Linked DNA regions of Anolis sagrei. The main gene of each other region encodes a partner of the protein of the gene in region 2 in a complex. Links are inferred from orthologs where the notes say so. Each region holds a gene or a part of one and is shown on either strand. Other genes may lie near its edges.

Region 1 (8,769 bases), about 12 Mb from region 2:
ATCCGAGAAGGAACTTAATGCTGGCTGGGTAAGTTTTAAAAACTTTTAAGAGTTCTTTTGGGGTTATGGGGAGGGAATGGGTGCCAGTTTTTCAGGCTCATGGAGCCCAAAAAACCAACACGACTGTGTGGATTGGGCCTGGGGATCGTGTGAGCCCCCCCCCCCCCCACATAGGGGGTCTCAGTTACTTCAGCAGTAAACTCATAGGATTTAGATGAGAAGGAGGGGGGGGGGGAGAAAGGCTTATTTCTTGGTTACAGTACAGTGTAGAGATGTGATCCCTAGCTTATATCAAAATGTGTTTCAGTCTTAACAAGTCTGAAAAAAGCCAACTGTATAATCTGCCATAAAGCAGATTATTACAATTAACTGCATTGAATTGGATTATATGAGTGTACACTGCCTTCTATGGCACTGTAGATCCAGCCTAAGACTTGAAATCATCAAAAGTAATTCACATACTGGAGCTCTCTCATCTTAATTCATGGTGCCATCCTTCCCTCCACAACTGAGGTTCTACAGATCAGGGAAGCAGAAATCATGACTTCATGGCTAGTCATACACTGAGATAGGCAAATTGGGGGGGGGGGGGGGGGGGATCTGTGGGGTTCTGCTGCAAATGCTTCTCTCAATGCACCCTGCAATCACAGGAGTGCTACTACTATCAGTTTCTGTCACCCTAATCTGCTGTTTCAGAAACCCACTGATTGTGGTACTGCATAGATGTGAATCTCCAAAGTTACAAGATCCTAAGAATGGCCTACAGTCTCATAGATACTGAACAAGAATACCAGCCAGGTCCTATCATTCTACACCTGTTAATGAACAACTAGGAGCAAAAGTAAAGCAAAATATGTCATTTTTTAATTTAGGAAAAGCCCAAAACACTGTCAGGTGCTGGGGCATGGTAATTCCATCAAGAGTACTTGAGGGAGGGTTTAACTTTTCTTTCACCAGCACCACGCATTTGATTCACTGGGATCACAACTAGGAAGGAATTGATGATAATTTGTACCTCACTTTTCCCCCCAGGACTGGGATCCAAAGTAGCTCACAGCCTTTAAAACTATACAGTTTCAAAAGCTATACAATATAAATGTTAATATAGAATTAAATATTAGAATGATTAAATCAATGATAAAAACTAGTAAAACTGTTAAAATAATTGCTAACTCCATGCAGCACCCCTGGCCTTGCTCTTTAAAACTTCCTGTTTTAAAAAGCCTTGCTAAATAAAAAGGTTTTAGCCTGCCACCGGAAGGACAGCAAGGAGAGGGCCATTCTAACCTCTCTATGGAGTTCAATCCCCCTGCCGTGCACACTGTGGCTCTAATGAAAATGTTTTAGCTTTTAGTAGGCTGGATATTATTTATTTATTTATTTATTTATTTACTTTACTTGTATACCACAGTTTCTCAGCCCAACAGGCGACTCAACGCGGTTTACAACAAGGATAAGAATCAATCAACGATATACAATTTAAAACCATAAAAGCATAATATACAATATTGACACAACAAAGACAACACAATGCATCTCATAACTAGAGTCGTGATCCAATCCGTCGTCCAAATTTCCATTCCTGTAATCATCACATTCATTGCACTGTATAACCGAATGCCCGTTCAAACATCCAAGTTTTTAATATGTATTCTAAGCTGAGTTTGGCCCTAATAGATAGTCCCTTTCAGTTTCATGGCTTGCAATCATATAGGGTGCTGTTATTTTGCAGCAAGGGTTCCAAAAGCTATGTACAGCCAATCACCGAGTCCTCGACATCCGACTTACATACAAACCCCTAGTTACAGGCAGGCAAGAGGGGGCACCAGCAGCACTCTGAGCCTTTGCAGTATTTATGTGCACAGGTAAAAATAAACATGTCAAGGTAAGCAACTGTCCAAGTTGCATTAAAAGTAGAACTCCATGTAGATTTTTCTTTTTTCTTTTTAGTTTTGGTTAGTATGGTCTGGGGTTGGAGCCACTGTGGGATTTATACTGCTGCATCCTCATTAGAAAGATTTAACCTCACTTTTTGTCTCTGAGACAACAGGAAACTAGTGGAAATCTACCCCCAGGAAGGTAAATCCACTCTTGTGACAGTTATCATGGGAAAAAAGGTATCTCCACCGAAGCTTTAGCAACAATCCTTGTTGCCATAACAACCCAAATTTTTCAAAAACCATTGTCACAGTGACAGAAAGTGAGGTGAAATCTTCTGAACAGGGGCATAGACAGCAAAATAAACGTTACAGAGCTGTTAGCCCTTCCCTATGCTATTCAAAAATAAAATAAAATAGGCTAGAGTTGCACTTATAAATGTCCCTGTTCCGACTTACATTCAAATTCAACTTAAGGACAAACCTACATAACCTTTCTTGTCCATAAACTGAGAACTGCCAATATATCACAAGGAAATCTCAGCACAAGACAGTTAAATGCATCACTCTAAGACAAAGATTGTAGGATGCAATCTGCATAATTCATAACACAGGAAAAGCTGGAACACTGAGAGAACTACTTCTAAATTTCAGCCCATGCATTTTTGAATGTTGCAGGGGCAGATGGAAGTAGAATTATTATAAAATATAATAATACTACACATAGCTATGTCTTTTTGCTTTGAGCATGTACCATATACCTACCATAAATTAGTATATCTCATCAGACCCTTGAGATGCTTTTCACGATTCTTTCTTTAAAAGTCTTTTTGTTATTAAAATTAAAACAATGCAAAATATCTTCTTATATTTGATTGCTTATAATGGCTTTTGCATGGACAGCTAAATTGGAATTACCCATCAAAGACTGTACTAACTCTAGTCAAGACAGTATGACTGAAAATAATACACCTTTGTACCAACTCCTACCAGTCAATAATATTGAACGGAGTAAAAAAAAAAGACTGGGACATTTGGCTTGCCAATGTCATAACAAATAGCAATATGTGATATTATGTGAAACAAATCAGGGTCTCCAACCAGGCCGGATCAGTTGCACTTATTCTTCTGAGCCAGACAAAGCGTTCGCTGGGTGTTAAAGTGATGGTGACATAAATAGAAGAGCGGCTGACAAACCGATCTGCTGGCATTCAGCCCGTCCTTTTCACAGGTTCTTCACAATGGGTGGGAGAAGTACTTGGAGGATTATGTTATCAGGATGCCCTGAGACAAGAAATCTGGCAGTGGTTTGTCAAGCTAGTTGCATCGTTTGTTTTATTATCATTGTTTATGAAAGTACATTCCTCTTTTTCTGAATATAAAATTAGTATTTGAGCAAACTTCTTGAAGAGATGCAAATTCTTGGGAATCAGACATGTTTCCACAACTGGAAAATTTCAAAACTAAATTGCAATGCACAAGTTGCTCATAGACTTGGTTAGGTGCAGGATGGGGTGAGGGTTGATGGCTTCCAAAACGTAGATCAAAGGGTGCATGTACATTGTATAATTAATGATGTTTGACACCACTTTAAGTGCAATGGTTCAATGCTATGGAATAATCAAAACTGTAATTACAAACTATACATCTCAATGAGGTCTAAAGCCAGAGCAACCCCCACTGTAGGATCTGTGCTGTTTCTAGTGTCATCTGCCCTGTTTTTCAGTGAGCTTCAGAATACACTGAACATAACTGCACACTGCCACTTTGGCAGAATTGGCCACCTTCAGAGATACATTTAATTAAGTAGCAGAGGGATACTAACAATGGTGGAATCTTAAGCCTCTTGGCTTTGCTATGCTTAAGTGCACTTGTACAGGCAATCCCTGAGTTACAAACATCCGACTTACAAACAACTCATAGTTAACAGCAGGGAGTGAGGAATTTACCTCCAGGAAGGGAAATCCGCTCTTGTGAGAGTTATCATGGGGAAAAGGTGTCTCAACTGAAGCTTTCTCACCAATCCTTGTTTCCACAAGCCATTTCTTTCAAAATCAAATGATTAAGGGGACAGAAAGTGAGGTGAAATCTTCTGAAATCTTCTGAACAGAGGCACAGACAGCAAAGCAAACATCACACTCTGCTATGAAAAGCATATTTATTTATTTATTTATTTCAAAATTTTCTATACCGAGCTTCTCACCTCTCAGAGGGACTCAGCCCGGTTTACAACCATAAAAACATACAATCAGTAAAATATCATAGTTCATAATTACAATAACACATTTAAAATAACAACTATATTTAAAACTACGGTGGTCAGTCATCAAATTAAAAACAAGTATACCTCATCTTCCATACACAATCCTAGGGTGCTGTCTCATTCATCGAAAGCCTGTCTCCACAACCACGTCTTCACCCGTTTCCTGAATGTCAGGATAGACGGGGCGGTTCTGACCTCCAGTGGGAGAGAGTTCCAGAGTCGCGGGGCCACCACCGAGAAGGCCCTGTCCCTCGTCCCCACCAGGCGCGCTTGTGAGGCCGGTGGGACCGAGAGCAGGGCCTCTCCAGACGATCTTAGTAATCTTGATGGTACGTAGGGGAGAATACGTTCGGAGAGGTAAACAGGGCCGGAGTCGTTTATATATATACACATACACACATCATACATATATATATACATCTATAAATGTACACACACATATACATGTACACATGCCCATATATATATATATATATATATATGGCTGGAGTTACATATAAGACATTTACTTGTTCTGATTTACATACAAATTCAACTTAAGAACAAACCTACAGAACCATCTTGTTCGTAACTTGGGGACTGCCTGTACTTCTGAAATGCCAAATATTAAAAAAAATGACACAGCTGAATAAAATCCCACATTATCTGCTTTGAACTGGGATATATGGCAGTGTGGACTAGGGGCTCTTCCAGACAGGCCCTTTATCCCAGGCTCTGATCCCAGGTTTTCTGTTTATTCCAGATTATCTGGCAGTGGGGACCCATATAATCAAGTTTAAAGCAGAAAACCTGGGATCAGATCCTGGGCTATAGGGCCTGTCTGGAAGGGCCCTCAGATAACCCAGTTCAAAGCAGGTATTGTGGAATTTTCTGCCTTAATATTCTGGATTATATGGCTGTGTGGAAGGGCCCTGGGACTCTGTTTTGATTTTGCCAAGCTGCAATTTTACGACTTCATAGTATTACTGCCGGATATCCCTAAGACCTAAACTGAGGACCATGTACAGACTTAGCTGAATAACTAACGAAATTAAAAGGTTCTATATTCGTCTTCTAAGGGCCCTATATCCCAGAATATCAAGGCAGAATAACCCACAATATCTGCTTTGAACTGGGATATCTGAGTCCACACTGCTATATATTCCAGTTCAAAACAGATAGTGTGGGATATTACTCAGTTGTGTGGAAAGGGCCTAAGGGTTCATTTCTCACTACTAAAAGCTTGTCTGGGGCTTCAATTCTTGGGCTAGGAAGAGTAAGCAAAGTCTGCCACTGAAACCCAAGGTTTGTCTCACTTTAACAGCCTATGTTCGGGGAGACTTTTCCCGCCACGCGGCGCCCTCTCTGGCTGAGAGACACTGTGTGTGGGACTGGCCCAGAGGACCAGGTTTCTGAAGGAGCGACTCTGCGCCTGCGCCTAGGCTCCCGGCCACGCCCCCTGTTGCTACGGCAACGAACGACGGCGGCAGCGGCTGCCTGTCTTTAAGGCCTCATGTCCCTACCGGAGCCGGTCAGGCGTCGGCTCAACTCTTTCAGCCGCACGGTCTTTACTGACAACAGCCGCACGGGGCCCGAGAGCGGAGGCGACGACGTTCCGGGTGAGGGGAGGGGCGGTGTTTCGCCAGCTCCAAAGATGGCGACGAAGGTGGCAAGGGGTTGGAAAGGAGCTTGCCTCAAGGCAGAAAGGGTGGACGGTGGCGCGAGGCCTTGTGCGTCGTCGTTTGACCTGAGAGCGCGAGGAGCGGCACGCGCCAGTAAAAAAAAAGGAGGGAGGGGGAGGAGGAGAAGCCCCTCCCTTCTTGGTCCCCACTCTCCCTGCTTACTGGTCGGACAGTGCAGCCCACGCCGGGTCTGCGGCCTAACACCCCAACTTCTTGTTCCTGGCTCTTCGGAAACAGCACACATTTTTCCTAAAATTGTTCTACAATACCATACAATCCATTTCAAAGCAGATAATCTGGGGGATCTTCCAGACAGGCCCTATATTCCTGGATCTGCTTCCAGATTTTCTCTTTATCCCAGATTATCTGGCAGTGCAGACTCATATAATCCAGTTTAAAGCAGAAAACGCGGAATCAGATGCTGGGATATAGAGCCTGTCTAGAAGGGCCCTCGATTATATGGCAGGGTATAAGGGGCCTTAGGAGCCCCCAGTGGCACAGTGGGTTAAAGCGCTGGCTGAGCTGCTGAGCTTGTTGACCGAAAGGTCACAGGTTTGAATCCGGGGAGCGGTGTGACCTTCCGCTGTCAGCCCCAGCTTCTGCCAACCTAGCAGTTTGAAAACATGCAAATGTGAGTAGTTCAATAGGTACCTCTCTGGCAGGAAGGTAACAACGCTCCATACAGTCATGCTGGCCACATGACCTTGGAGGTGTCTATGGACAACGGCGGCTCTTCAGCTTAGAAATGGAGATGAGCACCACACCCCAGAGTCAGACACGACTGGATTTAATGTCAGGGGAAAACCTCTACACACAACACTGCTGGAATCGTGTCAGAAGTAAATTAAAAATTTGTTGTTGTTCATTCGTTCAGTCGTCTCCAACTCTTCGTGACCTCATGGACCAGCCCACGCCAGAGCTCCCTGTCGGCCGTCACCACCCCCAGCTCCTTCAAGGTCAGTCCAGTCACTTCAAGGATGCCATCCATCCATCTTGCCCTTGGTCGGCCCCTCTTCCTTTTGCCTTCCACTTTCCCCAGCATGATTGTCTTCTCTAGGCTTTGCTGTCTCCTCATGATGTGGCCAAAGTAATTAAGAATTAATTACTACAATTATATATATATATATATATATAAATGTAATGTTCGTTTGTGGGATTAACAGAACTCAAAAATCACTGGACGAATTGACACCAAATTTGGACACAAGACACCTAACAACCCAATGTATGTCCATTAAAAAAAAAATGATTTTCTCATTTGGGAGTTGTAGTTGCTGGGATTTAGCGTTCACCTACAATCAAAGTGCATTCTGAACCCCACCAATGATGGAATTGAACCAAACTTGGCACAGAGTTCTCCTATGACCAACTGAAAATACTGGAAGGGTTTGGTGGGCAGTGTCCTTTGGTTTTGGAGTTGTAATTCACCTACACCCAGAAAGCACTGTGGACTCAAACAATGATGGATCAGGACCAAACTTGGCACAAATACTCAGTATGCCCAAATGTGAACACTGGTGGAGTTTGGAGAAAATAACCTTGACACTTGGGAATTGTAGTTGCTGGGAGTTATAGTTTACCTACAATCAAAGAGCATTCTGAACTCCAGCAACGACGGAATTGAACCAGTCTTGGCACACAGAACTCCCATGACCAACAGAAAATACTGGAAGGATTTGGTGGGCAGTGCCCTTTGGTTTTGGGGTTGTAGTTCACCTATATCCAGAGATCACTGTGGACTCAAACAATGATGAGTCTGGACCAAACTCTACACAAATACTCAATATGCCCAAATGTGAACACTGGTAGAGTTTGGGGAAAATAGAATCTTGACATTTGGGAGTTGTAGTTGCTGGGATTTATAGTTCACCTACAATCACAGAGCATTCTGAATCCCACCAACGATAGAATTGGGCCAAACCTCCCACACAGAACCCCCATATGGGCCACAGCAATGCGTGGCAGGGGACAGCTAGTAATGTATAAAAAACAAAGTTCAAAACTTGGCATTATATTAAATTTCCTTTGACCAGAGGCTGGCCATTTGGAGTGCCTCTGGTGTCTTTTTAATTTTTTTTTATTGATTTATCACAATTATTACATACTGTTGCATTTTATACATCAACCTCTTTAACATGTTGTTTTGTTGTTTTGCTTTGACATTTCCTCCCCTTTTCTCTTTTTTTTTTCCCCCCTATTTTCACCTCAGTGCTCCCCTCCACCCGTCTCAAGCCACATTTTTTACATTTCATCTGTCCAAAATTTCATTTCTTCTTGTGACGGTAATTTTCCTTCCTTATTTTTTAATCCATTTACCACAAATTTTCCCCATATAGCATCAAAATCACTTTGTTTCCATATACCTTTTTAAACCTTTAATATACATGTCAGTTTGTCATTTAATGCTATTTTCCATGCTTCCTTGTACCACTCCTCTATTCGTATATTCATTTCTTTTTTCCAATTCCTTGCTATGAGCAGTCTTGCTATAGTTAGTAAGTTTGTTATCGCTTCTTTATCCTCCTTTTTCAGTTGCTTATTGGTATATAATGATAATAAGGCTATACTAGGACTTTTGTCTATTTTCATATTCATTATACTTTCTATTTCTCTAAATACTTTCTCCCAAAAATTATTTACATATTTACATTGCCACCACATATGTATATATGTTCCTGGTTCTTTACATCCTCTCCAACAATTTGTTGAATTGTTTTTATTCATATATGCTATTCTTACCGGTGTTAAGTACCACTTCCATATTAACTTGTAATAATTTTCTTTAACACGTATCGATAGGTTTTTTAAATGTCTTTGTCCCCATAACTGTTGCCACTCTATTTCACTTATTTTTATCCCTAAATCCTCTTCCCAAATCTCCTTAAGGGTACTCTTTTTCATTTTCCCATCCTTCATTTCAATTAGTATCTTATAGATTTTGCTAATTATACCTCTCAAGTTTCCGTGT
Region 2 (7,848 bases):
GAATTGTATTTAGATCCTCAAATTACCCTGATAGCATTAGTTCTACTGGAACTAAAGGGGCTTACGGTAAGGCTCTTGGCTTTGCTACTCAGTGGAATTACAATGTCTAGAATATACCTGAATATACTCAGAAACATTTTTTTTCTGCTAGAGATGGAAATTAAGAAATGATCCCTCCAGCTCATGGGGGCAAGTGGAGTGACACTGGTGTGTTTATTACTTTGCTTCACAAGCAGGTTCCACAGGGCAGAACACCTGAACAGGGCCTTGGTTGTTATATGCCTTTGAGTCACTTCTGACTTGTTTTCTGGGGCTGAGAGCAAGTGGCATTGAACCATGGTCTCCAGAGTTGTAGTCCAACACTAAAGCCAGCACATCACAATGACTCTCAGATGTAGACTGAATTCAGCGAGACTTCCTTCTAAACAAATGTATGCATACAATGACACAATACAGGGGGCAACATGGTCATGATAAAGTCTAATAAAGCATACTGAATAACTGTGAAGAAAACGGTTCTGCATGACACATATAAGTAGCATGGCTGAATGTACTGCAAAAATATAATATAAGCAGCCCCCAAGTTGGGTTCTATAAGTTTGATTTTAAGTTGAATTTGTATGCGTCAGAACAAATATATTATTTAATTGCAACTTCATACACACACACACAAAAGCATGCATCCTTTGGATAGTATAGGGAAGGCTCAGAGGGCCCTTCCACATAGGATATCAAGGCAGAAAGTCCCATAATATCCGCTTTAAACCGGTTTATCTGAGTCCACACTGCTATATATCCCAGCAGATAATGTGGGAAGCTGTGGAAGGGGTCTGTCAGGTCTGGCCAGGGCTATTGATGGCAGGGAGATACTTCATTTACAAGGTTGCCATAAATCAAAGGGCCCTTCCACACAGCCATATAACCCAGAATATCAAGGTGGAAAATCCCACATTGTCTGCTTTGAACTGGGATATATGGCAGATATTGTAGGATATTCTGGGTTTCACAATGGTGTGGCATTGAGGGCTGTGTGAGTTGTGGAGTGATGAGTGTGTGCTGGGGAAAGCATTTATGGAAATTTCTAATTTCTTTGTGCAGTAGCACAATGACGATAGTTATTCAATTCTATATATATATATATATATATATATATTTGTGAAACTCCATATGTGATGCCTGTTTAATTCTGTTATAATGTTGTTTTATTTTAATGTGTCATATTTTAACTGTCTTGATCGGGCTTGGCCCCATGTAAGGCGCCCCAAGTACCTTCGGAGAGATGGAGGCGGAATACAAAAATAAAGTTATTATTGTTGTTGTTTATTCATTTGGTCACCTCATGGACCAGCTTTTGCCAGAGTTCCCTCTCAGCCATGGCCACCCCCAGCTCCTTCAAAGTTAAAGGTATTATTACTATTATTGTACTGACACAAAAACACAGCATGTCACAGCAAACGAGACCTATATGCTGGATTTCGTATCAAAAAAATCACAAGTCGAACACTTCCCAAGCGTATGTATTTTTGAATGATGCGCACTGATCCAAGTAAGGTGGCCTTTTGCAGTTGACAGACCATGATTTTGTCAATGTTTATTGCTTCCAAATGCCAGCTGAGATCTTTTGGCAGGGCACCCAGTGTGCCAGTGACTACTGGGACCACCTGTACTGGTTTATGCCAGAGCCTTTGCAGTTTGATTTTAAGGTCCTGATAATGGCTGAGTTATTCTTGTTGTTTTTCCTCAATGCGACTGTCACTTGGTATGGAGACATCAATAATCCAAACGTTTTTCTTTTCTACAATCGTGATGTCTGGTGTATTGTGTTCCAAAACTTTGTCAGTCCAGATTCGAAAGTTCCACAGTATTTTTGTGTGTTCATTTTCTATTATTATTATTTGTGTGTGTGTATACGCACACACACATATACTTGGCTGGATGAAGTTAAGTGTAACTCCATCCATGTGTGTGTGTGTACATATCTGTGTGTATATCTATGTATGTATATATATATGTGTGTGTGTGTGTGCATATGTGTGTATATATGTATCTATATCTGTGTGTATGTATGTATGTGTGTATATATATATGTGTGTGTGTATATATATATATGTATGTGTGTATATGTGTGTACATGTGTTTGTGTATGCATGTATATATGTGTATGTGTGTATATATATGTGTGTGTATGTGTATTTGTATACACACACATTTGTCTGGAGTTACACACACATGTATATGCAAGCTTTAGATAGCATAAGAAAATACAGTATATATGTGTGTGGGTATATATGGCTGGAGTTACACAGGCTGAGGCAGCATAACTTCCTTTTTTCAAAACTTAATAAAACCCATTGTATGAATCAGAATTTTTTTAAAAAAATTTATAACGTAAAGTTTTCTTTTACGTCGTTTTGAAGATCAAATGAGGTAGGTGACGTCCCCCATTTTCCATACACTGAGTAAACTGATTTTTGGCGTTGGTCATGACTCTTGCCAGCATAGCAGGTGTGATGTTGGCAGTTTCTTCCTGGATGTTGGCCTTCAAATCTTGTAGGGTCCTTGGACGGTTCACATAAACACGGGATTTCAAAAAACCCCATAGAAAAAAAATCACAAGGGGCCAACTCTGGAGAGTGGGCTGGCCACTCCAAATCTGCTTGAAAAGTAGGCCTCAATGGCCAAAGCACACTCCTCCCTGTTCCAACGCAGGATGGCGACTGAACTGTGTCAGGACAAAACTTTATATTCCCGCCTCTCGAACGAGACCACTAGCGCTCCGCTACGTCTTCAAACGAATGAATGGCACGCATTTTAAAAAAGGAAGTTATGCAGCCTCACCCTGTACTTAAATCACGTCCCTGTTCCGACTTACATACAAATTCAACTTAAGAACAAACCTACATAACTTTTCTTATTGGTAACCTGGGGGCTGCCTGTATTGAAGAGTCTACATTGTTTTATAATCCAGTTCAATCTGCATGATTAGGGCAGCAGTATAGAGGGAGGCCTGCTTCATCTCTCTTCAGGGAGGCACACACACAAAAGCGAGATGGCGATGGATACCTCAGAATACAAACTGTGTAGAGCAGGCCTGGGCTAACTTGGGCCCTCCCTCCAGGTGTTTTGGACTTCAACTCCCACAATTCCTCACAGCCTCAGGCCCAGGGGCCTGAGGCTGTGAGGAATTGTGGGAGTTGAAGTCCAAAACACCTGGAGGGAGGGCCTAAGTTGGCCCAGGCCTGGTGTAGAGACACAGGCTTGAAGGCAGCTAAGGCGGCGGCCCCATCCGATGGTCTTGAGTGGTGTTCTGCGGGGGAGCCCTTCCCCTCCTCCACTCCTCAGCCCCGGTGCGGACAGGGTTTTTATCGCGCGGCGAGAGCGTGTTCTCATTCCCCTCACCGGGCGGGCGGTCTCCATGGCGCTGCAGGCCTCTCTCTCTCTCTCTCTCTCTCTCTCTCTCTTTCTCCCAGGCAGGCGACGCCTCCCGGTCTCCAAGGGAGGGAAGGGAAGGAAGTCCAAAAAACGTCACCAAGGCCTCCCCCAATCGCAACACTCGGCCAGGGAAACCCCTCCAAAGGATTTCATGGCAACCCTGAGATTGCAAGACCAGGCAAGTAAACAGACCCAACTCTTCCAATGCCATCTGGATGTGTTGACAACTAAGCAACACAGAATATCAGGGCAGAATAACCCCACAATCTCTGCTTTGAACTGGAATACCTGAGTCCACACTGCCATATATCCCAGTTCCAAGTAGGATTTTATTCAGTTGTGAGGAAAACTATTAAAAGCAGTCAATGTGGATTATCTTGCTTTGATGATCTGGGTTATATGGCAGTGTAGATCCAGCCTAGTCATTGAAAGACTACAGCAAAATGTGCTGCAGAATGTCCCGCCAAAACAAAGTTTTTGCAATTTCATCAACTTTCCCCATGTTTTTTTATAATAGAACCAATTAGGAAATGACATTTATTGCAAAACAAAGAAAGGGACTTTTTTCATGGATGGTGGGCTTGTGAACTGGTGCAGGTCTATTGGAAAAGAATAATAAAGGAAACAAATAAAATGATTCACAACAAAGTAAAAAAAAAGAACCCAGGGATGTGCCTATTAGGGATATTCAGGGATAGATTAGATCAGTGGTTCTCAACCTGTGGGTCCCCAGATGTTTTGGCCTTCAACTCCCAGAAATCCTAACAGTTGGTAAACTGGCTGGGACTTCTGGGAGTTGTAGGCCAAAACACCTGGGGACACACTGAACAACCAGAGAGAGAATTTTGTTTGTACAGCTTTGTGGCTGCACGCATTACAATTGCCAAAGACTGGAAAGGGGAGAAAACATTAAGCATCAATGATTGGAAGGATAAACTGTGGGATTACACACAGATGGCTAAGATTTCTAGCAATTTAAAATATGAAAGTCATGAAATATTTGAAAGAAACTGGAAGCTGGCCTTAGCATACTTGATGGGAGAGCTAAAGAAATAAAAACAAGAGGAATTTATTGAATTAGAAGTATAGAGGGTTAAACAAGATGTGCATAAATCCTGCGGGGATCAGTGACAGAAGCCAAGGTGGCGGATAGCACTGGGGGTGGGTTGAGGGGTAACTACTGTGGGTGGCGGGTTGTCTACGTATGTGTATGTGTATGTGTACAGGGTTAGTCAAAATGCATAGGCCAATAAGCCATTCAATTGAATGGCTTATTGGCCTATGCATTTTGACTAACCCTGTATATTTCTGCAATATATATGGTTGGTGTATTATCTTTTTGAAAGAAAAGAAAAAGGAAATGACATTTACAACCCAGGAACAAAAATCATGTCACATAATGTTACTAAGAAGCCTCCGGTGGCACAGCAGGTTAAACCACTGAGCTGCTCAACTTGCTGACCAAAAGGTTGCTGGTTCGAATGTGGGGAGCGGTGTGAGCTCTTGCTGTTAGCCCCAGCTTCTGCCAACCTAGCACTTCGAAAACATGCAAATGTGAGTAAATTAATAGGTACCACTCCGGCAGGAAGGTAACAGCGCTCCGTGCAGTCATGCTGGCCACATGACCTTGGAGGTGTCTATGGACAACGCCAGCTCTTCGGCTTAGAAATAGAGATGACCACTACACCCTCAGAGTCAGACACGACTGGACTTAATGTCAGGGGAAAAACATTTAACCGCTTTGAGCCCCCCCAAGGGCTGAGAAAGGTGGTATGTAAATACTGTAAATAAATAAATACATATGTATGTGCGATATGTCATTACATTCTAAGCCAGCTGTTACAATCTGTTTATATTCAAGGAATTGTTGTACAATGTCAGTCACCAAGTTGCCCTCTGGACGGCACCAAGTTTCAGTTGTAGATTAGGTCCTCTTTGAGGATCGGGACATCCGTAGGGATACCAAGATGCTTGTTTATAAAGCTATTGTCCTCCCAACCCTGCTAGATGCCTGTGAGATGTGGACTGTCTACACATGCAACTCCTAGAATGATTCCATCAGTGCTCCCTCTGGAAAATCCTGCAAATCTCTTGGGAAGACAAGGGGACAAATGTCAGCGTGCTGGAAGAAGCAAAGACCACCAGCACTGAAGCGATTGTCCTCTGCCATCAACTCCGCTGGACTGGCCACGTTGTCCGGATGCCTGACCACTGTCTCCCAAAGCAGTTGCTCTACTCCGAACTCAAGAATGGAAAACAGAACGTTGGAGAACAGGAAAAGAGATTTAAAGATGGGCTCAAAGCCAACCTCAAAAACTGTGGCATAGACACTGAGAACTGGGAAGCCCTGGCCCTTGAGTGCTCCAGCTGGAGGTCAGCTGTGACCAGCAGTGCTATAGAATTTGAAGAGGCACGAATGGATTAAAAAATAAGGAAGGAAAATTACCGTCACAAGAAGAAATGAAATTTTGGACAGATGAAATGTAAGAATGGTGGCTTGAGACGGGTGGAGGGGAGTACTGTGGCGGGGGGGAAAAAAAAGGAAAAAAAAAGAGAAAAGGAGGGGAATTGTCAAAGCAAAACAATAAAACAACATGTTAAAGAGGTTGATGTATAAAATGCAATAGTATGTAATAAATGTGATAAATCAATAAAAAAATTATTAAAAAAAAAAAAAAAGAAGAGGCACGAATGGAGGGTGAAAGAGAGAAACGTGCCAAGAGGAAGGCATATCAAGCCAACTCCAACCGGGACCGCCTTCCACCTGGAAACCAATGCCCTCACTGCGGGAGAAGATGCAGGTCAAGAATAGGGCTCCACAGCCACCTACGGATCCACCTCCAGTACACCAATCTTGGAAGACAATCCTACTCGAATAGCGAGGGATCGCCTAAAGTCCCAAGGTTTTATCAGACAAATCAGGAGCTGATTGACTAATAACCCTAACCCTAATCCTTGGAGCATCTTGAGATGACTAACAGCCATTCTTGCAGCACTTTTCCTTCTGTGGGTCACATGGTGTCACAAAGTGATCCTGGAACCTTGATGTTTGCGAATTGGCCAAGGCCAGAAATGAATGCAAAGAAAACTCCTCTTCCTTGGTGTCATTCCCACTAAATAACTGTCAACAACCAAGAAGAGATAGTTTATAGCACAAAAGACTGTCTTGTTAACTTATGTTTTTTGGGGGCGGGAGGGAATTCTCAAACTTCTGAATGCTGAAAGGAGAAGAAATCTTACAAAATCCCCAAATGTGGAAAACAATATGATGACTACAACTGGCTCAAACAGATAAATGCAACAAAATAAATTCTTTTAATTTTTCCCCATAACAATTACATTACATTCTGACACTACAACCTAACAGTGTTTTGGAACCAAATTAATGTTACTGAATACACAGTGTTTAAGGACACCACATCACATAGTGGTTTCATTTCTCTTCACTTTAAGCCATGAGTTTTGGTTTGATAAACCAGACAGTGAAATGAGGTGTGCTACTGCCTTGTGGATTCTGGCATGCATCCACAGTTTAATGGCCATGACTCCATCCCACAGGATTTGGGTGGTGACGGTTTTCTAATGAACTATCCTGAACTCCAGCCCTAGAGATCTCTGCCATCACAAGCAGTAAATACTACATCAAGCTACAGATCCCAGGACCCCGTAAGGTGGAACTGTGGCAATTAAAGCAATATAATACTACTATAATTGTCTAGTTTAGTTTGTTTATACCAGTGGTTCCCAACCTGTGGGTTCCCAGATGTTTTGTTCTTCAACTTCCAGAAATTCTAACAGCTGGTAAACTGGCTGGGATTTCTGGAAGTTGTAGACCAAAATATCTGGGGACCCACAGGTTGAGAACCACTGGTTTAGACAAAAAAAACCCCAAAAATATTTTGTTTATCTCCCTACACCAAAAAGGAGTGAATTGCATCAGCATATTGCTTGCTCAGTTGCTGGTTTATTAAGCTTTAGTTCCTGGCTCAAAGTGATATGGACTATGTCCAAGAATTTTATAGCTTCTTGCTTGAATCATCTCCAAAATCCCTTTAAACAAAGATATATTTTATCTGGCAGTCCCAGCATTATGATTAATGTTGTAGTGAAGCATGAACTCTATACAATCAGTGTAAATCTGTCTAGTCTTGGAAATTATGGCTGATTCTCTGAGCAAATCCATGTTGCTGGGACCCACTGAGGTTCGTCCTGTGCTCGACGTACAGCAGACAGCAACTGAAGACAAGCTTCCTGTAAGTTGTCATTCACAATCACTTGGTCAAAGAATTGGCCAAACTGAGTTTCCATTTTTTTAGCTGATTCTTCCATCTCCTGCAAGTCTTCTTCCTATAGAGAGCAATTGAACAAAAGGGCTAAAGTCATCTCCTGAAATGATATTGAACCTAGTGGAATTGT
Region 3 (7,782 bases), about 84 Mb from region 2:
GTTTTTGTTTTGTTTTTTAGTTTTATAAGAGGAAAAGTTTCATGGGAAAAAATGAAACAGCCAGTAATCAAAACAACAACAACAACAACAACAACAACAACAACAAACTTAAACTTATCAATGATGTGTTACATTTCATTACAAATAATCTCTATTTTTTTAAGCAACCATCTTAACTAAAAACATTCTGGCAATGTTTTTAGGGTTTCGGTCTAGCCTATCTGTGTGACTGCATTTCCCCTTATGAACCACCTCGGGCTTTAAGGTCCTTCAAGGGGCCTTTCTCACAGTTCCGCCACCCTCACAAGCATGGCGGGTGGGAATGAGAGAAAGGGCCTTCTCGGTGGTGCCCCCCTGCCTTTGGAATGCTCTCCCTAAAGCAGTGATTCACAACAATGTGGGTCCCCAGGTGTTCTGGCCTACAACTCCCAGAAATCCCAGCCAGTTTACCAGCTGTTAGGATTTCTGTGAATTGAAGGGCAAAACATCTTGAGAACCACTGCCCTAAAGAAATCATACAGGTGACCACTCTAGCTAACTTCAGGAAAGAACTAAAAATCTGGAATTGGAAGCTGGCTTTCGAAAACGGTTGACTATTCATTATGATGGTGGTCTTTAAGCCTTGTCAATACCTATTGGCTTTAAACTGGTTTTGCCTCCACGGTGCAGTATGTTTTTAAACCCAGTATAATTCTTAACCTGCGTGTTTATCATTTTTCAAGATTTTTGTTTATGATTATTGGTTATTTATTATGTTTTGACTTTTTTGGCTTTTATTTATGTATGTATTGTAACTTGATTCTGTTGCAAACTCCCCCCCCCCCCCCGAGTCCTTGTGGAGAGGGGGTGGGATATAAATAAAGGTTACTAATGTTTGAAATTCAAATACACCACACACAAGGCAGAGATTGATAACAAAACAGTGGGTGATGCCTATGCTATGCAAGCCACTTTGTCTCCTTTTAGAGAGAAAACGTGGGATATAATGTTGTTAATGTAGCCACACTGCAAGAATTGTACGAGGGTTGAATGAAAAGTAATGCCTCCACCTTCATAACTTGGGTTTGGATGGGAATATTTTCATAAATCAAACGCAGAAATAATCCTTAGAATGTGCTCTTTAACTACTGCTATTCATTTTGCCACATAATCACCAGACAATTGGATACATTTCTGCCAATGATGAACAAGTTTTCTGAAGCCATCACGGAAGAAGTCGACACTCTGTATCCGCAACCCACATCTCACAATTCTCTCTATGTCTTTATCAGAAGCAAATTGATGCCCCCGCAGATCTTCTTTCATTATCAGGAACAGATGGAAATCTGACGGTGCTAAATCTGGACTGTATGGAGGATGTTGTATGGTGGTGAGATCCAGTCTCTGAATTTTCAAGTCTACATCGTGGATACCCATCATGCACAGATCTTCCGATAGCCAAGCAAAGCAATAATGTGACCCACACGTTCTTGTGAAATGCCGATTATGCTTGAAATTTCTCTCTGAGTGATACGACGATCATCCTGAATCAATCTGTCAACCTTTTGCTTGTGAAGCTCGGTGGTTGCTATCACAGGACGTCCAACTCTTTGTCTGTCATGCAAGTCAGATGTTCCCACCACAGCATCTTTAAACTTTCTCATCCAACGACTTACAGTACTCACATCAACACAATCACCATAAACAGCTCGCATTCTCTGATGAATCTCCTTTAGGGTGACACCTTCTGCTGTCAAGAATTCAATGACTGCACGTTGCTTAAGTCGCACTGGCCGATCGTCTGCACAGGGTTCCATACTTCACATTATAACAACACAAGCATTCAATGCTAAGGCTTCCTGTCAAAATGGGACTGTAGAGGAGAGTCTACTGAACAAGCCAGCACCTGCCGCATATTTATTTATTTCCTATATTTATACCCCGCCCTTCTCCCCCCGAAGGGGGACTCAGGGCGGCCTAACAAAAGCATCATCCGATGCTAGCATCATAAAAACAACCACAGTACAATCAAATTTTTAAAAATTAAAACAATTAATTAAGACACATCCATTAAAATCAAAATTCAAAAACAAGTCCGCGTCAATTCATTGCCATAAGTTATGTGATCTTCTTCCACTTGCTGCTCACTGATCAAATGCTTGGTCCCATAACCAGGTCTTGATTTTCTTTCTAAAAGACGAGAGGGAAGTGGCCAATCTGATATCTCTAGGGAGGGCATTCCCTCTGGGGGGGGGCACTGCTGAGAAGGCCCTGTCTCTCATCCCCATTAACCGTGTTTGCAATAGTGATGGGGTTGAGAGCAGTACTGTTGAGAAGTTACGAAGGGGGAGGCATTACTTTTCATTGAACCCACGTATCTGTTTGACATCATTTGGCTCAATGTTATGGATAAACTTGGGCCCTCCAGAGTTTGCCACCCCCTCAGATGTTTTGAGGATGGGGGAAGGAAGGGGCCTGAGGTTGTTAGGAATTGTGGGAGTTGGAGTCCAAAACCTCTGGAGGGCCCAAGTTTGCCCAAGTTTCAAAGAGGGTTGGTTACTGCTCTAGAGCCCTGGGCTTTGTTGCTTCACCTTCATCCTTCTGTCAGAGAGCTACACACACTACAAACCCCAGCATTCTGTGGGACTGAGGCAAGGCAGCTCATACCTCACTACCTCTCCATGGGTTTAATTCATCCCAGAGAGGAAAAACATAAAAACTAAAGCACACCCTTGGCCTCTTCCTAATGCTCTTTCCAAAGGGCTCTAGCACCCCCTGCTGAAGTATTTTGAACATAGAGCGAATTCACTCCACTTGGCAAGTGTTGACTGTATCCAGGCTGGGATGAGGCCCCAAAGAGAAAGCCTGAGATTTGAGGCTTTCGCTGCCTTCACAGGAGGCTTTATGGTTGTTGGTTTTTCTCAATTACGGATTCACCCCTCCCCCCTCCCCAACACACAGTCATTTTGGGTTAAACTCCAAATGGGAAGGGTGGGAAACAAAAGCTCGCCATAGGGACGCGAGAAGGCCCTCCAACTGAGACTTTTCTTCTGAGGGAAGAAAGGGAATAACGGGCACCTTTTAGGAGGGGAACGGCAAAGCCCCCTCGCCTCGCCCTCATCCCCCCTCCCCTCCCTCAGAACATGCCAATCAAGTCATCGCCTACCTACCGCTGAGCGCGCGCCGGGGACCTCGAAGAGGAAGGGGGCGGGACGAGCGGCTGCTAGGCGACGGCGGGGAGGGCACGTGATAGCAGGACAGGGCGAGCATGCGCCCTGGCGCTCACTCAGCCTCAACGGGATAAGACTACAGGAGGATTTCCTCTCCCTCCGCCTTCGAGATGCAGAATGAATGGGTTTGGCAGGACTTTTAAGCGCGCTGTGGAAGCCGGGGAGATCTCTAGCCTTTCCCTCTCAAGCAGGGTTGGTTACTCACCAAACTCCAAATCCCAGGCTTCCATTGCCTCCAGCGATGACAATTCAAGGGGTCTCAAACCGCATTAATTCTATACAGTGTAGATGCAATAGATGTCATACAATATAATGCTACTAATAATACAATATAATAATATATAATACTCTAATATAGTAATACTAATATATTAAATATAATTACTACTACTACTAATATATATATATATATATATATAAAATTATATTATATAATAATATAATATTATCTATCTATATATATATATATATGACTGCGTTCCATGCAGTCATGCCGCCACATGACCTTGGAGGTGTCTACGGACAACACTGGCTTAGAAATGGAGATGAGCACCACACCCCAGAGTCAGACATGACTGGACTTAATGTCAGGGGACTACCTTTACCTTTACTAATAATATATAATATACTGTTTTATTTTGATATATTTGAAGTTGTAATGTTTTTGATTTGAACCTCTGATCAAAGCCCCCTGGTGGTGCAGCGGGTTAAACCACTGAGCTGCTGAACTTGCTGACCAAAAGATTAGCGGTTTGAATCTGGGGAGTGGGGTGAGCTCCTGCTGTTAGGCCCAGCTTCTGTCAACCTAGCAGTTCGAAAACATGCAAATGTGAGTAGATCAATAGGTACTGCTTCTGCAGGAAAATAACAGTGTTCCAGGCAGTCATGCTGGCCACATGACCTAGGAGGCGGCTACGGACAACGCCAGCACTTCGGCTTAAAAATGGAGATGAGCACCAACCCTCAGAGTTGAACACAACTAGACTTAATTAATGTCAGCTTTATCTTTATATGGAGAGATAAAGCGGGATGGATATAAATAAACAAATGCACCCTAAATTTAGGAAACTCTACTGTTCTGCTGTTCCTGTGTCAGTCCCTAGGGTCAGTCCAATTAATTGGTTTCTAATAATAATAATAATAATAATAATAAGTTTCTTAGGTCATGGAAAATGAACATGCAAAAATACTGTAGGACTTTCGAATCCAGACTGACAAAGTTTTGGAACATAACACTCAAGACATCACAATTGTGGAAAAGAAAAAAGTCTGGATTATTGATGTTGCCATACCAGGTGACAGTCACATTGAGGAAAAACAACAGGAAAAACGCTGTCAAGACTCAAAATCAAACTTTTTTTTTTGGTCATGTAAGGGGTGACTTGAGAAACTGCAAGTCGCTTCTGGTGTGAGAGAATTGGCCATCTGCAAGGACGTTTCCCAGGGGACGCCTGGATGATTTGATGTTTTTATCATCCTTGTGGGAAGCTTCTCTCATGTCCCCACATGAGGAGCTGGAGCTGATAGAGGGAGCTCATCCGCCTCTTCCCAGATTCGAACCTGCGACCTGTTGGTCTTCAGTCCTGCTGGCACAAGGGGTTTAACCCACTGCGCCACCGGGGGCTCCTAATTGAACTGCAAAGACCAGTACAGGTGGTCCCAGTGGGTGCCTTGCCAAAAGATCTCAGCCAGCATTTGGAAAAAATAAACATCGACAAAATGACAATCTGTCAACTGTAAAAGGCCACCTTATGATGGATCAGCGCACATCATTTGAAAATACATCACACAGTCCTAGACACTTGGGAAATGTTTGACTTGTGATTTTGTGATACGAAATCCAGCATATAGATCTCGTTTGCTGTGACATACTGTCTTTTTGTGTCAGTAAAACAATCAGTTTCTTGTTTATTTATTTCTCTCCTGCTTTTTTCCCAGCTCAGAAATCAAAGCGGCAAACTACATACAAAAAGCAACAACATAGCATGCAATAAAAGTAGGCAAAACCATCATAAGCATAGCCATATCTAATAAAATGATAAAAATGGACATTAATGACTAACAAAAATGCAATTAAACATTCAATACATTAAAAACCCCATCTGGTATCAATTCATTTAGGTTGTAGTCAGGTCCATTGCAGTTCAAACATTGCACACGATAGATCTGGCATTTTCAGTACTATTGTTCTCCTGGTTTCACAGGGAAGTTTTTACTTGATTCCTTAATGATAGTAGTGAAGGAGCCATTCTAACTTCTTTAGGAAGGGAGTTCCAGAGTTTCTAATTTATTGCATTGTAGATAAATGAACCCTATTCAATTACAAGGCAACTACATTACACACAGCTCAAATTTAAAACTTCCTAGATTAAACGTATTCCCTGTAGTCACCTACGGATGTGAGAGCTGGACCTTGGGGAAGGCTGAGCGAAGGAAGATTGATGCTTTTGAGCTGTGGTGTTGGAGGAAAGTGCTGAGAGTGCCTTGGACTGCGAGAAGATCCAACCAGTCCATCCTCCAGGAAATAAAGCCCGACTGCTCACTGGAGGGAAAGATACTAGAGACAGAGTTGAAGTACTTTGGCCACATCATGAGGAGACAGGAAAGCCTAGAGAAGACAATTATGCTGGGGAAAGTGGAAGGCAAAAGGAAGAGGGGCCGACCAAGGGCAAGATGGATGGATGGTATCCTTGAAGTGACTGGACTGACCTTGAAGGAGCTGGGGGTGGTAACGGCCGACAGGGAGCTCTGGCGTGGGCTGGTCCATGAGGTCACGAAGAGTCGGAGACGACTGAACGAATGAACAACAGATTAAACGTAGTGAATTTTGATACATTGCTGGTCAGATTCTTCTATTTGAACTTATTTGTATTGGTCAGAACAATTTGTATTGTTTTGTTCTGTTAGAATTGTAACACAATGGTATGGTTGCTGATGACACAATTAAATAAATAAATAAATAAATTTGTATTGGTTTTATATTTTAAATTGCTAATATATTTTGGTGACTAAACCATTCATATACAAGAAAATAGCGACATATCATTTTTATTTCTTTGTAATTTTCATATTTCTGAACATGTCTGGAACCCTTTAAAGGTATTTTTAATTATGTTTAAATTAATCTTTTTACACCAAACTTTAAAAATATTTATCAGTAGTAGATATTAGACTTAAACATAACTCAAGTTATGTGGGGTGGTCTTTTATGCTTTTTAGTCATTTTCCAAATTAAATTCATTTGAATCCCCTCTCCCCCATGAGGAAATTTGCATTAATTATTGTTGAAGATCCTTCTCACATACACATACTTTGGGTTTTAGATAACTGTGGACCCATTTACACTGGCATATAATGAAGTTTAAAACTGTATTATAATGGTCAGTGTAGATTCATGTAATACAGTCAATATGCATTATATGGCAGTTTGAATGAGATCTATGTTTAAGATGGATAACACTATGTAACACAATTTTTGTTCCTATATTATAAATGTCATTTCCTAATTGATTCTATCATAAAAAATAGAAAAAGTTTATTAAACTGCAAAAACTTTGGTTTTGTGGGACATCCTGCAGCACATTTTGCTATAGTTTTTCCATGAGTTACCTGATTAATATCTGAATAATCTCAACCAATTCAACATAGTTTGTGGCAAGTAGAAAAATGAAGTTTCTAGAGTATAACAACTACTTTTAAAGTAAGTATTGCACAGTTAAACACGAAATAACATTTTCAAACTAGAAACAGAAAACTTTTCAAATTTTGTTACATATTTAATAGCTCCAAATGTGGCACATATTTTGAAAATAATGATGATGGACTTAAAAAAGAAAAGAAAATGCTGTTACCTGCATTATAATGTACAGGAAATGTATAATACAAAAACCAGTAAAGCAGTCCCTGTTATCAAGCGGGGCACACGTTGAGGAAAAAGAAGAGGAAATGTAGATGAAATCTCAGTGTAGAAGTATCCGTAATTTACAAACAGTCCTCTAGGTGGCAATGAAGTTATATACATTCATTGATTTTTATATCAAAAAATTAATTTTGAGATTTTTCCTGAAACCATTTTAAAGAGCATTTCATACTTTCTGCTGGTCTTTGCAATCACATCTCCATGAGTTTTTGCACATGAATAGTAAAATTCTATTACATATACACTGGTTCTATTCACAATTCTGTAATTATCTCAGTGATCCAGACAAAGTAATTTTGTTTTTAAAATTGTCAAGATTTTAACTGTTGCCTTTTAGTGGCAAGATTCCTGAACAAAGTCTGTGAACTGAATGTGTAGGAAATGTGAAGTTCCCTTTTCTGTGGTTTGTACTGTATTTTATACCTTTTTGCTATGCATATGCCAATAAAGGCTTATTGGATTGGAATTAGCTCAGAAAATTATATTGTATAATGCAATAAATGACATATTTATTATGTAATATGTAGCGGAAATACAGTATGCAATGCACTGACCTTATATGAGTTGTTATGCAGAAAGCAAAGTTACAAGATTTTTTAAAAATACAAATATAATTTAATAAAACTTATATGGATTGTAGCATAGGTATTACAT
Region 4 (7,842 bases), on a different chromosome or scaffold from region 2:
GTGGGGTGAAAATGATCAAAAATACATCAAAAACTTTAGGAGACAGCATCTGTTTCGAAATACAATGTATAGGGTGATTTTTTTCACATGCCAAGATGATAAAACAACATACAATCTTAGAATCATAGAGTTGGAAGAGACCACAAGGGCCATCCAGTTCAACCACCTGATATGCAGGAATACACAATCAAAACACTCGTGACAGATGACCATCCAGCCTGCTTAAAATCCTCCTTAGAAGTATTACAAAATGCTTTTACCTTTTACAAAGGTAAAAGAAAAAGAAAAATTAGCACAGAATATAGAACTGAACTGGGAAATCTGTGACCAGCTGTTGTTGGACCAGTTTCCTTCATCCCAGACTACTAGTCGTGCTGCCTGGAAGACTACAGGTTACTAATTAAGGAAACAAAAAAGTGTCGAATGCTGGAGTAGTACATATGACATATGGGAAGATAAAATGTACATTTGAAGTATGCTGTATTCTCAATAATGCATGTACTGACCACGTCCATGGGCCATACATAAAACTGTTCCTGTGCTTTTATGTTTTGAATTCAGATGGGCTTCAAGGCACATTAATAATATGGTACAAGAGTCTGTGATACGAAAAGGAAAACAATTCAAAAGTACTTAAAAACTATCTGAGAAGTGACAGGATGAAATCACAAATATTTATATGTAGCAGATTGTTATTTTCCAGGCCTATGATTGCACACAGCTAACAATCACATAAATAATGAAAGCAGACCATTAGAAAGAGCCTGCTAGTTCAGCATTATTGAGAAGCTCAATTACGATGCCGCTTCTGAGGCAATTTACTCAAGGCTGCTTATGATAACAGATCAAGCAAAACAACAGAGTATTTTTGACTGTCAAGCTAAGATTCTTCATTTCAATGACACTTGTGGGAGAAGGGAGCCATCGATCAGAACAACTTTTGCATAAATGTATGAAACATGTCTCTTCAAATACTCATAAAGATAAGAGTCAAACTGAATGACTGACAATCACCAAGTCTTCATGAATCTACATAGAACCACATACAAGGAATTGTGTTCTTCCTTATATAGACTGTTGAATGATCTGCTAGAAGACAGGTAAAGCTGTTAGAATTCAAAACAGGCCTACCCAATCAATTTTAAACTATGAATTTTAAAGTGACATTTATGAATGATTTTAATACCTTTTAATCTTATGTCTATGTTCTATTTATACCTCGCGTTTCTCTATCCCGAAGGGGACTCAAGGGCACTTATTCATACAAACATTAAGCCTAAAATAAATTAAATTAAAATTAATATATATATTAAGCATTTAAAAGCATTACATTCAATATTAAAATCACACCATCCAGAAATCATAGTCCAAAGCCGTTCCATGGCCATTGCTAATATTGCACTGCACTATTCTCGGTTAGCCTGATCCCACAGCCAAATTTTTACTTTTCTTCTGAAGGCTACTTCAGGTACAAACAATTAATTCAGACCCCTTTAGCCTCAGATGAACGGTAGGCAGCAGTGGAGACTTCCACTAATTTACAAGGAATCCCAACTGTGCACACTGGTGCTCATTTCCAAGAGAGCATCCATCAGATTATATCCCTTTGGATGTGAGCTCTCAAAGCAATCGATAACTGGATAATTAGTGATACGGGTTGAGGATCCTTGTCCTGAATGCTCCACAATCTGAAACTGCCCACTTGGGTGAAACCTTTGCTTTCTATTGGATCAATGTGCACAAACTTTCTTTCATGAACAAAATTATTTAAAAATATATCACATCATATACTTTAAAGCTATGTGTCAAAGAGGTATATGAAATATATATGGTTTTTGTGTCTAGATCAGGCATGGGCATCAGGGTTGGACTGGATGGCCCACAAGGTCTCTTTCAACTCAATGATTCTATGGGCACACTTCAGCCCTCCAGGCATTTTGGACTTCAACTCCCACAATTCCTAACAGCCGGAATTGTGGAAGTTGAAGTCCAAAACACATGGAGGGCCCAAGTTTGCCCATGCCTGGTGTAGACTTAAGCCTCACCTCCAAGATCTCTCATATATATAAATAAAAATGTAATGTTCGTTTGTGGGATTAACAGAACTCAAAAACCACTGGACGAATTGACACCAAATTGGGACACAAGACACCTAACAACCCAATGTATGTCCTTCACTCAAAAAAAATGATGGAATTTATAGTTCACCTACAATCAAAGAGCATTCTGAACCCCACCAATGATGGAATTGAACCAAACTTGGCACACAGTTCTCCCATGACCAACAGAAGGGTTTGGTGGGTACTGTCCTTTGGTTTTGGAGCTTAGTTCATCTACATCCAGAGATCACTGTGGACTCAAACAATGATGGTTCTGGACCAAACTCTACGTGAATACTCAATATGCCCAAATGTGAACACTGGTGGAGCTTGGGGAAAACAGAATCTTGACATTTGGCAGTTGTAGTTGCTGGGATTTATAGTTCACCTACAATCACAGAGCATTCTGAACCCCACCAACAATAGAATTGGGCCAAACCTCCCACACAGACTCCCCACGTGGGCCACAGCAACGCGTGGCATGGGATGGCTAGTCTATATAAACAAAAATGTAATGCTCGTTTGTGGGATTAACGTAACTCAAAAACCACTAGATGAAATGACACAAAATTTGGACACTATTTATTTATTTCTGGTATTTATATCCTGTCTCTTCTCTATCCCAAAACGGGGACTCAGGATGGCTTACATAGGCAGCAATTCGATGCCGTTACATGAACCCCTAACAAACCAATGAATGACCATCACTCATACCCCCTCCCCCCCCCCCAAAAAAAAACCAGTGGAAAGGATTTAAACCCCCCCCCCAAAGCAAAATGACAAAAAGCTAAATGACATACAGAAAAAGGAGAAGGAGGGAGGAAAGGAAGGAAGGGGAAAAAGAAAGAAAGAAAGATAGAAAGAAGGAAGGAAGGAAAGAGCAAAGGAAGCATGGAAGAAAAGAGCGAAGGAAGGAAGGAAAGAGGTAGAGAAAGAAGAAAGGAGAGAAAGAGGAAAAGAAAAGGGTGTAGAAAGAAAGGGGTAGAGAATGAAGGAAGCAGAGAAGGAAAGAAAAAAAGAAAAGGAAGGGAAGAGGGAGCGAAGGAAGAAGAGAAAGAGTGAAAAGGGGAGGGAAGGAAAGAGAGAAGGAAGAATGAAAGCAAAGAGCGAAGGAAGGAAAGAGGTAGAGAAGGAAGAAAGGAAAGAAAGAGGAAAAGAAAAGGGGGGATAGAAAGAAGGAAGGAGAGAAGGAAAGAAAAAAGGAAAGGAAGGAAAGAGGGAGCGAAGGAAAGAGGGAGGGAAGGAAAGAGAGAAGGATGGATGGAAGCAAAAAGCAAAGGAAGGAAGGAAGGAAGGAAGGAAGGAAGGAAGGAAGGTGAGAAAGGGAAGGAAAAGAAAAAGGGAGGAAGGAAAGAGGCAGAGAAGGAAGGAAGGGGAGAAGGAAAGAAGAAAAGGAAAGAAGGAGAGAAAGAGGGAGGGAAGGTTGGTCACAGCAACGCGTGGCGGGTACAGCTAGTTATGAATATGAAAATATTCCAAAATCCAAAAATATCTGGTCCCAAGCATTTCAGATGAAGGATACTCAAACTGTAGGGTCTGAACACGGGTCTTCACCAGCGTCACGTGTGAACACTTTCATGGGAAACCACCCACTTTTTTTCTGCGATGGCCACCTCTAGCAATAGATGGAAGCATTCCTCTCACTTAACATACAGGTAAGCCTTGTGAGATGCAGAAAACAGGGGCAGCCCTACTACACCGCCCTGAGTCTTTCTAAACCCTCTTCCTCCCTCTAAAGATGCCAGGAACCCTCTCCTTACCTTTTAGCACATTACCGCCCTTGGCAAGAAGCCGGCACAAGCAGCCCTGCTTCCCACATTAACTCGGAGGCTCTGCTGGAGCATCTCTTCCACCATGTCTCTCTCCAGCCCCTGAACATGAAAAAGCAACTGGAGACTCCCCTCTCGCACTGCGCAGGCGCTGACTCTGTCTCCCCCTACGGCGTGACGACAGAGCATGCTGAGAAGCCGCTCTGGGGGGAAAAAACTCCACGTCCCAGCATGCTAAGCGGCCGATGTTGTGAAAGTCCGCCTCTCGGTAGTGCGTAGAGCACTGTGGGTAGCGTAGTCTTCGGCAGGACATTTTGTGGGAGGTTAAAGAATATCCGGGTTCTTTTGAGCCCGGAAGAGAAGTGTTTGATGGCGTCGCCCAGCAACGGCCATCTCTCCTCCTCCTTCCTCCTCTTTGTCAACGGAAGCCAGGGGAAAGGGGAGTGAGCGGGAAGGGCGGGAGACGCTTGAGCAGGATCAGCGCTGCCTTTGAAGGTGTCGGTTTTACAGCCGCGAGGCCTTGTGGTCGCCCAAGGAAGGCTTAGGGTGAAGGCCCTGCCGCCCTTCAGCCATTCTCTGTGAAGTAAACCTACTGACAGTTTAAGAGAAAGTACCGGGCCCTGCGCAAACTATCGAGGTACTATTCGTATTATTATTATCGGGTTGCTGTGAGTTTTCTGGGCTGTATGGCCATGTATGTATGATGCAGCTAAACATCAAAAAAACCAAGATTATGGCAACAAGAATGATTGACAACTGGAAGATAGAGGGAGAAATCGTGGAGGCCGTGACAGACTTTGTATTTCTAGGTGCAAAGATTACTACAGATGAAGACTGTGGCCAGGAAATCAGGAGACGCTTCCTTCTTGGGAGGAGAGCAATGTCCAATCTCGATAAAATAGTAAAGAGTAGAGACATCACACTGGCAACAAAGATCCGCCTAGTCAAAGCCATGGTATTCCCTGTAGTAACCTACGGATGTGAGAGCTGGATCTTAGAGAAGGCTGAGTGAAGGAAGATCGATGCTTTTGAACTGTGGTGCTGGAGGAAAGTTCTGAGAGTGCCTTGGACTGCGAGAAGAACCAACCAGTCCATCCTCCAGGAAATAAAGCCTGACTGCTCACTGGAGGGAAGGATACTAGAGACAAAGTTGAAGTACTTTGGCCACATCATTAGGAGACAGCAAAGCCTAGAGAAGACAATTATGCTGGGGAAAGTGGAAGGCAAAAGGAAGAGGGGCCGACCAAGGGCAAGATGGATGGATGGCATCCTTCAAGTGACTGGACTGACCTTGAAGGAGCTGGGGGTGGTGACGGCCGACAGGGAGCTCTGGCGTGGGCTGGTCCATGAGGTCACGAAGAGTCGGAGATGACTGAACGAATGAACAACAACAATGGCCATGTTCCAGAAGCATTCTCTTCTGACGTTTCGCCTACATCCATGGCAGGCATCTTCAGAGGTTGTGAAATCTGTTGGAAACTAAGCAAGTGTAGTTTATATTTCTGTGGAATGTCCAAGGTGGGAGAAAGAACTTTTTGTCTGCTTGAGGCAGGTGTGAATGTTACAATTAGCCACCTTGATTAGCATTGAGTAGCCTTGCAGCTTCAAAGCCTGGCTGCTTCCTGCCTGGGGGGCTCCTTTGATGGGAGGTGTTAGCTGGCCCTGGAGCCCCCGGTGGTGCAGTGGGTTAAACCCCTGTGCCGGCAGGACTGAAGACCGACAGGTCGCAGGTTCGAAACTGGGGAGAGGCAGATGAGCTCCCTCTATCAGCTCCAGCTCTTCATGCGGGGACATGAGAGAAGCCTCCCACAAGGATGATAAAAACATCAAATCATCCAGGCATCCCCTGGGCAACGTCCTTGCAGACTGCCAATTCTCTCACACCAGAAGCGACTTGCTCCTGACACAACCAAAAAGAAAAGAAAAGCTGGCCCTGATTGTTTCTTTTCTGGAATTCCTTTGTTTTTTGAGTGTTGCTCTCTATTTACCATCCTGATTATAGAGTTTTTAAATACTGGTAGCCAGATTTTGTTCATTTTTGTGGTTTCTTCCTTTCTGTTGAAATTGTCCACATGCTTGTGGATTTCAATGGCTTCTCTGTGTATCCTGACATGGTGGTTGTGAGAGTGGCCCAGCATTTCTGTATTCCCAAATAATATGCTGTGTCCAGGTTGGTTCATCAGGTGCTCTGCTATGGCTGACATCTGTGGCTGAATCAGTCTGCAGTGCCTTTCATGTTCCTTTATTCGTGTTTGGGCGCTGCTTTTGGTGGTCCCTATGTAGACTTATCCACAGCTGCATGGTATACAGTAGACTCCTGCAGAAGTGAGAGGATCCCTCTTGTCCTTTGCTGGAAATAGCATTTATTTGATTTTCTGAATGGGCCTGTAGATAGTTTGTAGGTTGTGTTTCTTTATCAGCTTTCCTATGTGGTCAGTGGTTCCCTTGATGTATGGCAAGAACACTTTTCCTCTGGGTGGATCTTTGTCTTTACTCTCGTGGCTTGTTCTCGGTCTTGCAGCTCTTCTGATGTCTGTGGTGGAGTATCCATTGGCCTGTAGAGCCCGGTTTAGGTGGTTCAGTTCATCTTGGAGAAGGTGGGGTTCGCAGATTCTTTTTGCATGGTCTGCCAGAGCTTTAATTGTGCTTCTTCTTCTTCTTCTTTTTTACTTGGGTGATGTTTGGAGTTTTTATGTAGGTATCTATCCATGTGTGTAGGTTTTCTGTAAACTCTGTGGCCCAATTGTTGATTGGGCCACACAACACTCAAAAATGGGAATTCCAGACAAGAAACAGTCAGGGTTAGCTAATCACTACCCAACAAAAAATTCCCCCAGGTAGGAAGGAGGCAAGCTTTGAAGCTGCAACGCTATTCAGTGCTAATCAAGGTGATCAGTTGCAACATTCACACCCCCCACCCCCACCCTGACTCATTGTTTGAAGATTTCCGCTTTAAAAGTAGATCAATAAGCTGTGCATATGTTTCTGTTCATACAGCTTTTCTTCTTCTAATCTACAGAGATAAATGAACACTCAAGATGGCACCTATTTTAGAATGGAAAAAGCTTATGAGAGTAGATCCTGATGCTTTGCCCCGTCAAGAGGAACTTGCAGATAATTTGCTGGAGGCAGTAGCCAAGGTATTCTCATAATGGATTCAATGTGTTGTATAAATATGCAGTGGATCTTTGGTATATGCTAGGGTTTGGTTCCAGGACTCTGTAGGTGGATACCAAAATCTGTGAATACTTGAGTCTCATTAGCTATCAGAAAAGCTAATGTATAAGCAAAGATTAGCAAAAGGAGAAATAGAAGATCTTTTTGATAATCCAGGCTGTCCTTGAGTTACAGACATCTGACTTACAAACGACTCAAAGTTAAGAATGGGGATGAGACAACAGGAAGTGAGAGAAATCTGCCCCTCGGAAGGGGAATTGAATCCTTAAAGATTTATCATGGGGAAGTGTGTCTCTACTGAAGCTTTATCACCAATCCTTGCTTCTAAATTTTTCAAAATCTAATTATCACAGGAAAAAAGTGAGCTGAAATCTTCTGAACGGGACACAGACTGCAAAACAAACACCACGGGGGTGTTAATCCTTCTCTATGCTATGCTAGGCTTATATATAGCTGGTGTTACACTTTAAAATGTACCTGTTCCAACTTGCATACATATTCAACTTAAGAACAAACCTACAGAACCTATCTTGTTCATAACTAGGGGACTGCCAGTACATGGAAGTTATTTATTAGCTTCATGTGTAAATTCAAATCACCAAATGATCAAGAAAGACCATGGATGAGCAATTAGAAAATATGTTACAACAATTATATGTAATAGATGAAACTAGTGAACAAGCAGTATGACAGAGCTGGATTATATATCACACTATGTGGATGATGGGTTAGGAGTGGGAGGGAGTATAGATCTGGGAATAGATGATGTAACAAGGCAGCTGTATTATGTGAAATGT

What was found.
Region 1: TMEM237 (region 2) and TMEM17 share a complex: the UniProt entries of both Homo sapiens proteins name them as parts of the tectonic-like complex. The link is inferred for Anolis sagrei from reciprocal best matches to the Homo sapiens genes TMEM237 and TMEM17.
Region 3: TMEM237 (region 2) and AHI1 share a complex: the UniProt entries of both Homo sapiens proteins name them as parts of the tectonic-like complex. The link is inferred for Anolis sagrei from reciprocal best matches to the Homo sapiens genes TMEM237 and AHI1.
Region 4: TMEM237 (region 2) and CEP290 share a complex: the UniProt entries of both Homo sapiens proteins name them as parts of the tectonic-like complex. The link is inferred for Anolis sagrei from reciprocal best matches to the Homo sapiens genes TMEM237 and CEP290.

The regions. Positions count from the first base shown.
Region 1 is NC_090021.1:152,383,214-152,391,982, reverse strand, and holds the start of TMEM17 (transmembrane protein 17), read left to right. Parts: upstream 1-5,545; 5' UTR 5,546-5,632; coding exon 5,633-5,738; intron 5,739-8,769. UniProt on the Homo sapiens protein: Transmembrane component of the tectonic-like complex, a complex localized at the transition zone of primary cilia and acting as a barrier that prevents diffusion of transmembrane proteins between the cilia and plasma membranes.
Region 2 is NC_090021.1:164,682,672-164,690,519, forward strand, and holds the start of TMEM237 (transmembrane protein 237), read right to left. Parts: upstream 3,518-7,848; 5' UTR 3,418-3,517; coding exon 3,400-3,417; intron 144-3,399; exon of another isoform or gene 1-143. Other genes in the region: MPP4 (MAGUK p55 subfamily member 4), read right to left, coding at 7,588-7,779. UniProt on the Homo sapiens protein: Component of the transition zone in primary cilia. Required for ciliogenesis.
Region 3 is NC_090021.1:80,413,443-80,421,224, reverse strand, and holds the start of AHI1 (jouberin), read right to left. Parts: upstream 3,227-7,782; 5' UTR 3,150-3,226; exon of another isoform or gene 3,146-3,149; intron 1-3,145. UniProt on the Homo sapiens protein: Involved in vesicle trafficking and required for ciliogenesis, formation of primary non-motile cilium, and recruitment of RAB8A to the basal body of primary cilium.
Region 4 is NC_090025.1:152,525,791-152,533,632, reverse strand, and holds the start of CEP290 (centrosomal protein of 290 kDa), read left to right. Parts: upstream 1-4,203; 5' UTR 4,204-4,505; intron 4,506-6,887; 5' UTR 6,888-6,906; coding exon 6,907-7,008; intron 7,009-7,842. UniProt on the Homo sapiens protein: Involved in early and late steps in cilia formation. Its association with CCP110 is required for inhibition of primary cilia formation by CCP110.